2 linked regions of the Bombyx mori genome follow. Each later gene encodes a partner of the first gene's protein in a complex. Links are inferred from orthologs where the notes say so. Each region holds a gene or a part of one and is shown on either strand. Other genes may lie near its edges.

Region 1 (8,937 bases):
CAATTAAGTTCAATTTGTTATTATGGTTGTTTGTAATAGTTATTATAGCATATGTTCAACAAAATATGGATCACAGAAATTAAGTGAGTCACAGACAGGACAGTATTCTCTACTCTAATATAAAATAAACCTGTTATTGTTTAGTGTAATTGTTTTTTTTTTGTGAAAATAATATGTGGAAATATAAGAACAGTTGATCTATTTTATATAACCACTTCATTACTAGGTTGGTGTATACTTCTATGACAATGGTCACGGCAAGTTAGAAGACAATGACATATTCAACCACCTATACTCTGGAGTTCAGATTAGGACAGGCAGCAACCCTGTTATCAGAGGAAACAAAATTTGGGGTGGTCAGAATGGTGGTGTACTTGTATACAACGGGGGCCTCGGATTGTTGGAGCAGAACGAGATATTCGATAATGCGATGGCCGGTGTATGGATTAAGACTGATTCAAACCCAACGCTCAAGAGGAATAAGATCTTCGACGGACGTGACGGGGGCATTTGTATTTTTAATGGTGGGAAGGTGAGATTATTAATAGAGAATTTAGTTTATGTTTTGTAAATTTTAAAAACGAGATACATAATTTTTGTAGAATATTCAAGATTAAAATCTGATTTTAGCATCATGAATTGAATCTTAATCAGACAAATTTAGATTCAGTTGTAATAAATTAGACATTTTGTCCTTTAAATAAAATAAAAAAGCAAATGATGGAAGGGCGTTATTGTTTTCAATAACATATCCCTTGATTGAATTGATTTTAATCAATTAATCAAACACAAATTTGAAGTATAACAGTTTGCAGCAATAAATATAAAAATCCCAACCATCAGCAGACTTAACCTTAAAATAACCTAATAGATATTGATCTGTTTCTGATCTTACAATCTTTACAACTGGTAACTTAGTACTTAGCTTTAATCTAATCGTCTATGTATGTATAAACATACATAATATCTAATATCTATCTATAAATAGGCAAACACGAAACAGTTAAACACCATCATTTTCTCCTGTTTGTTGTGGGTGTCAGTAATTATATTGAAATTTCCTCCATAGTTGGTGATTAATTAATTGGCTTTGGTTACTATTTAACGTGAGCTCGTTCACTCATACAAAATTAAAATTTTATTTTTATTGTCATTACAATTAAATATTACATATTTAACAACAAATTTGCTGTATATCCTAGTTATGAAGTAGTAGTATCTTACAAAAATAAGCTATTTGTTTACAGGGAGTGTTAGAAGAGAATGACATATTTCACAACGCGCAAGCAGGCGTCCTGATCTCAACGCAGAGCCATCCAGTATTACGTCGGAACAGAATCTTTGACGGACTGGCCGCCGGTGTCGAGATTACTAATAATGCAACCGCCACCCTAGAACATAATCAGATATTTAATAACAGATTCGGAGGTAACTTCTTTTATATTCTTGTATACTTAATGCTTTGTCCTTTGAGAAGTTGTAAATGGGCTTTCTTATACATTATAAGTTTGCGCTCTTGCCATGTGAAATGTGCAAGAAATTTTCAAAATAGTTGAAGCGAATTAGATGTAGTTCAGTAGAGAAAATATGAAAGGAAATGCTTTCCATTGAATGGGGTGCATTATTCTGTAAACTGACTGAATGTTGTTATTTCGAACTTGTGTGTTAGTAGAAAATGTTTTAGCCCAATTGAGGTTTTTCTATCTATATTATATATATATATTAATGAATTGCTGTTCGTTAGTCTCGCTAAAATTTGAGAACGGCTGGACTGATTTGGCTAATTTTGATCTTGAATTATTTGTGGAAGTCAAGAAAAGGTTTAAAAGGTAGATAAAAATGAAAATGTTCTGAATTAAATAAAAATAGCAATTTTGTTTTTGTTTGTTTTAAGTTTATTTTATACAAAAGCTTAGGACTTTTATTTATCGTTTGAGGCACTACGAAGTCTGCCGGGTCAGCTAGTTCTGTAATAATTACCATTACAGTTAAAATATTGTTCAATTGACATAAAATATATCTTAAAAGAATATCATTAAATATTAATAAGACTGATATAAAATTGTTTTTTTGTTATTTGCAGGCCTGTGTCTGGCTTCTGGCGTTACTCCTTTAGTTAGGGGAAATAAGATATTCAGCAACCAAGACGCCGTTGAAAAGGCTGTCGGCGGTGGACAGTGTCTCTACAAAATCTCTTCTTATACTTCCTTTCCGATGCACGATTTCTATAGGTAAGAAAAATCATGGTCTCTGGATGAATTTTTCATTAAACTCTTTCTTGTAGGTCACTAAATTATATAATAGTTCATGAGCATTAAATGCAATCGAGCTGTGTCTATCAGTTATAATATAAACATCATTTTCCATAATTCAATGTAAGTTAGCAATTTTTAGTAGTTAAAATAGCCAGACAATCTTACAACTCAATTTGAATGCTGCTTCTTAGATTCCGCATCTTAGATTAGACCGAAATGTCTCGTGCATTAGTACAACAGCTGTTCGACATTTTAAAGCAGAATATTTAGATTACTTCGCGACAGAAATAACTAATGGTACTCACCAGCGCCGGTTTGGATCTAGAATTTAATATAGGGACTTTCGAAAATGATGAAGATATTCCTCTTAAAGACATATGATATGGGTGGTAATACAGATTTTTCGAATAAAACAACCGTTACGACACTGATACTTTTTTTTTTGTTGCCGTAGTTGCCGTAGATATCAGTCCTTTAAGCTGTGTCAACTTATTTTGTATATTTATTTAGGTGCCAGACGTGCAATACGACAGACCGCAATGCAATCTGCGTGAACTGCATCAAAACGTGCCATTCCGGTCATGACGTCGAATTTATTCGTCATGACAGGTAAGTCTATCTATAGGTCTATACATACATACAAATCTACGTAAAGTATTAGTTTTTAAGAGTAAATTCAAAGAAAAAAGAAGGGGATACAATAACAAAAAAAAAACGACCATTTCATGAATAAAATAATTCATATATTTCAGTTTTATTTTTGACCCCATCCACTTTGAGATACGAGATCTCAGATCTCAGTATAGTTACAACAGCTGCTCCACCCTTCAAACCCAAACGCGTTACTGCTTCACGGCAGAAACAGGTAGGGTGGTGGTACCTACCTGTGCGGACTCACAAAAGGTCTTGGCACCAATAAATAAATCTATTGGGATAGAAAACTGAAGTAATTTTCGAGATACCTTAAATACATTGTACGGTTTAGTATAAAGTTTTTTTATTTTATTTTTTCATTGCTTGAGCTCACTCCACTCAACTAACTAATAAAAAAAAAAGCATAACCATTTTGCCTATTTCTGCCCTGAAGGAATCATACAAACATAATCGAGACTTTTATCTCATCTGTTAAAGTCTCGTTTACATTGTTCAGTCTATGAGTTCTTGTGATCAATATTTTTGAAAATATATATTTTTTTATTGCTTAGATTGATGGACGAGCTCACAGCCCACCTGGTGTTAAGTGGTTACTGGAGCCCATAGACATCTACAACTTAAATGCGCCACCCACCTTGAGATATAAGTTCTAAGGTCTCAAGTATAGTTACAACGGCTGCCCCACCCTTCAAACCAAACGTACCCACACATACCCACAAACGTACGTTGCACGATTTAGTATAAAGTTTATGTTGTCTGTCGAAGGTTCTTCTGCGACTGCGGCGCGGGCACGCTCTCGAACCAGTGCCAGCTGCAGGGCGAGCCCACGCAGGACACGGACACGCTGTACGACTCGGCCGCACCCATGGAGTCGCACACGCTGATGGTCAACTGATGTCGCCGCCGCAACCCGCACTACTATTTTTTATTACCTAAAACTTCCTAGATGTACGTTCCTACGGGAAGTCGCCGATCTGTCCGGCCGTTTGTCTATATTCGTAATCGCGTTTCGAACGTTGTCGCTGTCTCTATGTGTAGTAAATTTTGTAATCGTCGGTACTTAAAACTTTGTTTCATCGAGTAGTAGTATCGTTGCATTCCCAAATTGTAATCGTACCGTTAGATCAAGATATCACGTTTAGAATAATGCTATTCATTTTGTAAAATTAACTGGTAGTGAGGTACGTAATATCGACTAGTTTGGATAATCGTCGATGTTTTATAATTATTTTGTTATCACCGGAAACTTTATTATTCCCATTTATTTACAATCTGAATGGCGACTCGCTGTCAGGACGGCTGAACATTCATCGATATAAACTGTAAATTTTATCTATTGACGACGATATACTGTATTATTTGTTGGGGCATTCGTTTGGCTATCCTGGCGGCGATGTTTTATCCTTGAGACGTTTTAGTTAATAAAGTGTTAGAAGTGCGCTATGTTTAAATTATGTAAGTTAAGTGTAGTGCGGCCGCGGTCGTGGTGGCACACGCGGCATCTAATTTCTCGTTTAGGAGTCCGCCTTGCCTAACTGTTTCGGCCCTCCTAATGCGCTTTGTAAATATTTATGTCACACAATAATCGAAATGTAGTAATTAATGTATTTGTATCATTATATTTTTATTATTGATCACAATATGTATGTTCGTTAATGTAAGTAACGGTAAGAAGAGTGGGAGCGAGACGCCGCTCGTCAGCTTCGTGTTGGTAAAAGACCACTATTACGTTGAGCCAGTAGATAGTGTGAAAGGAAATGGTCTCTGATATATATATATTCAAATTGAGTACGAATACACAATGCGTATTGAATTGGAGAAGATCTTAGGTACAATTGATATTTTTATTGTTAATTTAAATTTTGGTATTGATATGGATCGAAAAGCAATGCGTGAAACTGGAATGTGCCGTGCGTTAGCGGCCGGAGTGCTGATAGTGATAAGTTAGCCGATAAGCTATAAGAAATCTAAATTACTCAGTAATCACTATTGCAAGTTTCGAATTGTTAAATTATCCTCCATAGCACGGTCTGTTCTGATTCTGCTTTTATAATCCTCAATCTGTGATCATCGCTAAACGTGTTAGTGAACATAAACTTAGTTTAAAACCACGCGTATCAGAATTGACATTATTATTATTAGTTCGTTGAAAGGATAAAATGCTTTATATTATATATTTTGCTCCTACTAATACTGAGATAAAACGAGGATGAATTTACAAGGCAGTTGTTAATTACGTGATTTCTACTTTACATTTAAAAGGCTTAATGTTAAGAATAGCAAAAAATTATTAGTAAAGTTATCTTATACATTAAAGAGAACTTAAATTTTGTTTTCCATTTACCATTTTTTTTTCTTTTACCTTTTCTATCTTTTGTATTTAGCAATACTAATAGTGGTCAGGTGATTAACAACTTTCCGTTAAACTTTAATATATTTGGATGTAAAATTATTTATTAAATTGTCAGTATGTTTTAATTTATTGAACTCAGAACTGGATTTTTTCTACATGAGAATACTACTGTAAAAGCCGTGATATACATAATATAATATTATATATTGGCATTTTATTTACCCTGGCTCTACTTTTTCTTTGTCAATATATATTTCTAGAGTAATAATTTTTGTGATTAAGGGACGCGGTATATATGACATTGGACACAAGATAAATTCAAAATATAGAGATATTCGTAGAACCTCAAAACTAGATATTTTCTAAAGCCAACTATTTTATTTGTCGTTTTGATGTTAGGCTCATAGCTTCGCCCTTGCTTCCCAAGGCTTCAGGCTGTCTATGTATGAGGCATACAAGAAGATCGCCTTTCCGTACTGCCGATCACTGATCAGCTGGCGATCCTCAAGATACTTAAGGAGCTCGATGTTTATGATTCACTTCATCACCTTGCAAAGAAGGAATTTATCACGATATGACTGTAACTCGAGAGGTATGGACCCCGACCGAAGGAGGGTGTCTTCGGGTCTTTTTTTTACATTACCCTTGTAGGCAGACGAGCATATGGTCGACCTGATAAGGAGTGGTCACCGTCGCCCATGGACTTCAGCAATGCCAGGGGCAGAGCTAAGCCGCTGCCTAACGTAATCCGCTTAATGGTAAGTGGTTACCGTAGCTCATAGACTACTAACAAATACTTCAAACCATAGATTAAATACTATTTTTTAATTAATATTATTACTATTCTATCAATGCCTCATTTGAAGAAAAAACAGTATCGATGTCATTATCAAATCCTCATGAGAGTATTGAAGTGCTTGTAGGAAGAGATGTTGACGAGTTGTTTGAAATGATCCCATTAACTTCATTTATATCTCTCCCGAGCACAGTTCAACTATATCATAGATAATAACACTTCATATTTGCTATACTATATTTAATATAACTATTAATGTGATTTAACCCCTGTGCTCATGCGCTATTTCCAAAGATATTTTTTGCCACGTATCAACTGGCTTTGAAATTAAGTTTCTTCCGCAAGATATTTCCTGAGCGCTACCAAGTCCTTCTTCAGAGGTTTGAAAAAGTTGAAAGTAGCTTAGTTGAACCTCTGGCATTGCTGATGTCTGAACACTCGGTGGCCACTCACCATTAAGCATGTTTGTCTACCAAATCGCAATAGTGTTCATTCAAAACGCATCTAAACATGGATTGGTTGATAATGTAATTTTATGGTTGTATTATGAATTTAAACGCGTGATGTGTCACAATGTAAGATATATAGAAATGAAATAGCATGTATTCATTTTTATTTTAATACAAATCAAGATGAGTAGGTAAAGGTTAATTATTTATATATAATATGGCCACTTGATTTAAAAATTATCAAACAATAGTAACTTTACAATATATAATACTATTAAAATGTTTAATTGTATGTTCGTTGGAGTTTTTGTCGCGGTGATCTTCTTTTAGGTGATACATGTACTGCTTTCATCGGGGTATTGGACTTCTTTCCATCTGCAGACTGGACAATAGTTCTTGTAGTTTTACTGGTAATGAGAGACTTTTTTAGGGTTGGTATTTGTGGAGTTCTACACGTAAAGTTTGCCGCATTCGTTTGAGGAGAAGTTACTTTCTTGATTGGCGATGACATCTTATTTGTTCTCCATTCATTATATAGTGAAGACTTGGTAGGCACAAACGGCGCAGCGGGTATATTCTTAATACTTTTCACAGGTGTGATGGGTTCCTCACTGCCATGCATCTTAGGCCTAACAAGAGCGACAGCTTTTTGGGTTCTTATCGGTTGTTGACCACTAACCCTGGGACGCCTCGCAAAGCCGATATTGGCAACTTTTTCATTTCGTTCAGATGATTTATCAGAACTAGATTCGAATAATTTTGCTTTCGCAAGAACTGCTCCGGCGTTTTGCCGCCTGAGTTTGTTCACGGACGGCCTTCCCGTCGTCCCAGAGCTGTCAACTTCGCCGGTCTTGTTCATGAAGAAAGCGGCTGCGCTTCGCCATTTCTGCTGTATTGGACTCTTTTTAGCATATTTGTGTGTGTTTCGATCGACCACGTTTTGATAACAGGGCCTCTGTTCTAAGCTATTCGACTTTCCGCTAGAATCATGCGAATTATTCAACGAAGTTTCCGAAAGCGTATTTTCAAAACTATTATTGCTTGTTAAATTTAATGATCTTCGAGCTTGAATTTTACTAACAGGTTTTTCTCGATTATAATCTGGAGCAAGACTGGTCCGTTTCCTGAGATGATATTTTTTACTACTGTCAGAAGTATTATTGAATGAGTTGTCAGATTCCTCCCAATCAGTGATTTTAATTTTTGGCGTCGTTTTTGCGGGTTTGGCACTTTTCGTTCTTTGACGACTCAGACCGATGTAAGGATAAAACCTATCGGTGACGTGACTAGCTTGAGACTGTGAAGGCACATTCCAAGATTTGTGCCTCACTATTTTTGTAAGGTTTTCTTTCGATCGTCTTCGTATTGAGCCTATTTTCCTAGCACTCGGGGACCGTATAATTTTGGCTTCTTCTGTGGGTCGAATTTTAAGCTCCTTGCTTAATCTACGAGCTAAATTATCTGAACTGGGACAATGAAGCATTGCTACTTCTTCCAGAGTTTGTTCATACACATTCTGTACTTGCTGTAAAGGTTGTATACGTGGCTGTATTGCATCAGTGAATTCCCTTGAGAGTCTGTTCTCGATGGCGGAAACTCTACTTTTGATTTCCTCATATTCTTGTTTGGAAATTCTGACGTAATCTTTCTCTTGTTTCATGTCCGGTGATAAATCGATCGTGTTGTGAGCACTGAACAAATGTTCGGTGGATGTCAACAAGTCCTCGCTACTAATACTGGTTTCTGAATTTTTATGTGAGCTGAAATCTGAGTTTATAATAGGTGTACTCCTAGCGTCCATTAAGCTTAGCCGCAGTCTTTTCCTCTCGATTCCCCTAAAACATCAAATCAAAAAAATTTTATTCAACATAAATGAAAGTACATACTTGTTGAACGTCAAAAGAACTACCGCCAATTCACAAAAACTAGCCTCCGTCCTGAGCAGAACTGGCAAGAAACTCAGCGGGTCTGCCAGAAATGTAAAAAGTTTTGCTTCACGTGTGTTTGAAGGATATTTTTACTTAAACGTCTAGTAACTAGACTCTAGTTGTTAGTATACCACCATTACTTACATCTTCATGGGTGTAAAAGCTAATTCCTTTTGAGGTAGTCCATTGGTTATGTCTTTCCTGGAACATATGTGAATTTTAAATTAGATTTATTATGTTTTTTTTATTGCTTAGTTAGCTGGACGAGCTCACAACCCATCTGGTTACGAGTGGTTACGAGTCCATAGACATCTACAATGTAAATGCCGCCACCCACCTTGAGATATGAGTTCTAAGGTTTCAGTATAATTACAACAGCTGCTGCACCCTTCTAGTCGAAACGAATTACTGCTTCACGGCAGAAATAGGCAGGGTGGTGGTACCTACCCGTGCGGACTCACAAGAGGTCCAACCACCAGTAATACAGCATATTACAGCTACG
Region 2 (4,235 bases), on another chromosome or scaffold:
ATACTGCCTGTACATTATGGTGCACTTGCAGAAGCCAAACATCTTCATTAAGTCTTCAAATATGATTTTTAGGCGCTAGTGAATAATATCGACACTTGAAAGGCAAACATGACTAACCGACAATAACTACTTTGTACATAAATGATAAGCAATAACCATATTCGATGTGAAAAAAAAAAATATTTCTAGGTCTATTAAAATTATTTCAATCCTACAGCTACTAGCTAGATTCTACTACAGCTAGATTCGTTAAAATAAATTTTGTTTTCAGGTATTTCAACTTTAAATTAGTCTACTGTAAAATTCACGCATTTTCAAACGTCGATATGTATATGTTTACACATTTCTGAGACCTCAGCATTTGAGGCAAATGTAATAAAATGAAGCAGTATATACATGTAGCAGTAGCTATCATAGAATAGAAGTACTATGGTTACAACTTGATTAATATGAACTACACAACCAAGATAAGCTAAGATTCGCAATAGCTATACTAAGCAAAAAACCTGCCTCACACTACAAAACATTTTTTCTCAGGTAGTCAATTAGCTTAGATGAACAAGTATGCAATACAACCGTCACTAAATTTCTCCCTTTCAATAGTTCACTCAATACTGAGCATCAAAATCTGTCAGTCACACAGTGAAGTGCATCGCTCAGTCTTATGTCCAGATGCTTAGACACTAACTAGTTTACTAACCATCACTATTCCTAAGCAATTTTGATAAAAAAACAATAAGATTTGAAATTGATGAACAAAAGAAAGTTAAGAACAATACAATGTCAACTTAATTTATGCAATTGTGTATGTTTTTTTTATTGCCCTTGTAGGCATACGGTCTCCTAATGGTGAGTGGTTACCGTCGCCCATGGACTTCAGCAATGCCAGGGGCAGAGCCAAGCCGCTGCCTACCGTACGGGTTCAATATCACGATACCCAGTTTCAAATAGACATAGTTGAGAGTTCATCCGCAAGGCAGACTCAGTAAATTTGTCTTTATATACATTTATTTTATTTTATTCCTGTGCAATTATTATTTTGAAGAGAATAGCAAACAGAGCACATTACATGCACGTGTACATTATTTCGTTCATTGTTTTTTGTGTTGTGCAATTATTTTCGTGAAAAGAACTTATCATTTCAATTTCCTAATACTCATATGAATTTCGACATGTAAATACAGCACCAACTGAATTGTAATATTCGTTTACTTGAGACTGCCTAAAAACTTTTCTTTGTATTGTATTTTTTTTAAACATCATTATTATTAATCTTTATCCTTATCATTGCCTAGAGAACAACAATGCCACAAGCATTGTGAATTGCCTTTAAATTACTTTTGAAAAATATATGCCATAGCTCTGAAGTAATAATGATCTTTAGGAACAACTGTAGAAACTCCCAAATTACTACTTGGGATGTCCTCACAAGTTCATGAAGTATATTCTTACAAAGAGATGAATTTGCTTAGCTTGATTTAGTCAATCAATATAGTTGGTAACTTACATTTAAGGCAAGAGATTTGATACATTTAGGGCATTTAGCCTTGGAAATAGCCACTTTGCACTCCATTTCCTGTATTTATTGTGCAAAATCAGAACTCTACTTATATTTTTTTACTTTGAGCACAACCATTATTAACTTACATCACTGAATCCCTATAATTTCATATGTAACACATATTACATACATAGTATTTATTGGTACCTCTAATTTCGTATGTAATATATTTTACAAAGTATTTATGTAAATCTTATAACAAGACCTAGTTATTTTCTCGATATTGCCACTAACAAAAAGCAGGTGGTAACAGATTTAAAAGAAAAAGTGTAGATAAGCATAGGAAGACATAACAGACATACGTTTTGTTGTGTATTGTGCTCATTGAACGATAACTGTTTGTTCAACTAGAAAACTGTGTCTTATTAGCATAAACAAAAAAAAAAAACAAATTACCGTTTTCCTTAACTGCGCATAACGATGTGCGAGATTAACATGGAGTTTATGAATTTAATAATAAGTAAATGCAATTAAAGGCTAAAAACGATACGAAAAGTAAAAGTGTTGTTGGATCTGACAAAGGAATCGAGATTTTGCAACACAAACAAGGGCAACCGAGAACGTGTTTTTTTAATAATCTCTCAAGCTTTTGAATTACAACATACCTGCTTAGTCTTCCCGTTAAACCTAATGGCACTATATTTTACATTAAAAGCACTAAATGAGCTATTTCAAACACGTTTAATCATTATATTGCGACTGGTTTCTGCCTGACAATTTCAGGTAGGTAGGTAAGTACCTACCTACATCTGTATTCTGTAATTTGGACTACCTACCTGACAATTCACTGACAGTCACAGCGTGACATGACAGATATGAAATAACGCTACCGTAAAGCGTCCGAATTTTTTTAGTTTTGATATGTTTTAAAATGGGTATGTAAATTGATCGGATTATACTTACGTAGCACCCGTTTTCACGCTGTCATCGACCACATTACACTTTTTTATGTACTTGATGCGATACGATTGAGCTTGTTTTATTATACCACGATTTACAATCACGATTCATCAAATTTTATTCAATTCGGCAATACGTACACATGTAGGCCTTGTTATTTTGGACCATTTCATCCTCACTTCAAATAAAAAGAAACAACAGTGAAAAGAGAGAACAAAACTGAAGCAGTGCTGCCGGTAAATAAATTAGACAAATCCCAAACCCTTATTGATTTTATAGGATTTTTTATTATTATGCCATAAAACTTTATTTTCATATACCCATAATATTACATGTCAGCCTTCTTTAACGATGTTTGAATTTATTTGAAAAAAACAATTTGATAGACTTCAATTTCCTTGTAAATCAGCAAGACTGGTTGCGTTCAGTTTGGTGTTCTCCAAAGATTGCTTTTGCATTAAACTGCCTAGTAACCAAGTAATATCAATCAATCACTAATATAGTTAATGATTTTTTTTAAACAAGGATATGATAGATATAAATAGCAATCGCAAAACCTTCCGATCGTCATCGTTGTCCATAAAAGTCCCACATTACCTTAAATCAGACGAAAAGTATCCGCACTGGCAACTCTTAAAACCGTGTTCATTTTCACTCTACTGTGACGCTAGGTGGCGTTACTTTTTTGAGTATTGATGCGTTCAAATTCACTCAGAGGGGATTTAGTGAATTCAGATTTATGCTACTCTGGACTCTGGAACACAAGTAGATTAAACATAAATAGAAATGAATTAATTAGGGCAGAAACGTAACATTTGTATGTATGCCAATAAAAATATTGAATATACTATTTTAATTGTTAAATAGACCATGTTTTCTATCAATTAACAACAATAAAAATCATGTTAATGGACTACCTATGCAGACTAAAGTGCAGGAATCTCCAGCTTTTTAAATAAATCTGTGTACTGGTTTCAATGCCTAGGTACTGAAATGTTGATTTCTCAGGTAATTAAGCTTGTAAATTTTCTGCATGAGCAACTACGACAAATCAATAAAACTATTAACCTAAGAATATATCCCACAGAAATACTTGACCAAGCCAGGTCCTTCCCCACCGCAAAGCTTTTCATGTTGAAATTGTGATGAAAACATTTAATTTTGGTGAATGAACAATAATATTTTTACTCTAGATGAGCAGATTATCTGTAGACCACTCGTCGATTGATCCAATTGGTTATCAGATTAGCTAAGAGTATTACAGTCCCTGCTTAGTTTTGTTTTCTAACAAAAGTTAACAAAGGTTAAATGAATGGTCTCGAGAAGATATTTTTAAATGAAAAGGTTGTTATGACCCTTAATACTTCTAAAATTGTACTAGGATCTTCGAATTTTTCGAAGATCCTAGTACATACTGTTGAACTTAAGTTGATGGTTTTTACTTGTTTAGGAACCCAGTTAAAGTTCTCGTGTGTATGTAAATATTGTAGTCGTGTGATCTGCGTGCTTCTACTACAATATTTACTACAGAAAATAAATAATATTGCGCGAAACTCTTGTCAAATCTGCCAGAATTCCACGATTGTTTTTGCAAGGTCTAAACTGCAAACACAAAAATGACAGTGACACATTTTAGTTAATCTAAAAGTAATTTAACAGACCACGACTGGCTGGCCCAGTAACCAGTGCCCTTGAGTGCTACCTGAGGGTCGATGTTTTTACTTCCAGATCGACTATACGTTTGTGTGTTAATACTCTCTGAGTGTTATGTATT

What was found.
Region 2: F-box only protein 11 (region 1) and cullin-1 share a complex: the UniProt entries of both Homo sapiens proteins name them as parts of the SCF(FBXO11) complex. The link is inferred for Bombyx mori from reciprocal best matches to the Homo sapiens genes FBXO11 and CUL1.

The regions. Positions count from the first base shown.
Region 1 is NC_085131.1:4,818,608-4,827,544, reverse strand, and holds the end of F-box only protein 11, read left to right. Parts: intron 1-226; coding exon 227-532; intron 533-1,247; coding exon 1,248-1,428; intron 1,429-2,083; coding exon 2,084-2,231; intron 2,232-2,765; coding exon 2,766-2,864; intron 2,865-3,674; coding exon 3,675-3,804; 3' UTR 3,805-5,466; downstream 5,467-8,937. Other genes in the region: rho GTPase-activating protein 11A, read right to left, coding at 6,791-8,342, 8,580-8,636. UniProt on the Homo sapiens protein: Substrate recognition component of a SCF (SKP1-CUL1-F-box protein) E3 ubiquitin-protein ligase complex which mediates the ubiquitination and subsequent proteasomal degradation of target proteins, such as DTL/CDT2, BCL6, SNAI1 and PRDM1/BLIMP1.
Region 2 is NC_085108.1:4,460,578-4,464,812, forward strand, and holds the start of cullin-1, read right to left. Parts: upstream 2,801-4,235; 5' UTR 2,465-2,800; intron 2,374-2,464; exon of another isoform or gene 2,167-2,373; intron 1-2,166. UniProt on the Homo sapiens protein: Core component of multiple cullin-RING-based SCF (SKP1-CUL1-F-box protein) E3 ubiquitin-protein ligase complexes, which mediate the ubiquitination of proteins involved in cell cycle progression, signal transduction and transcription.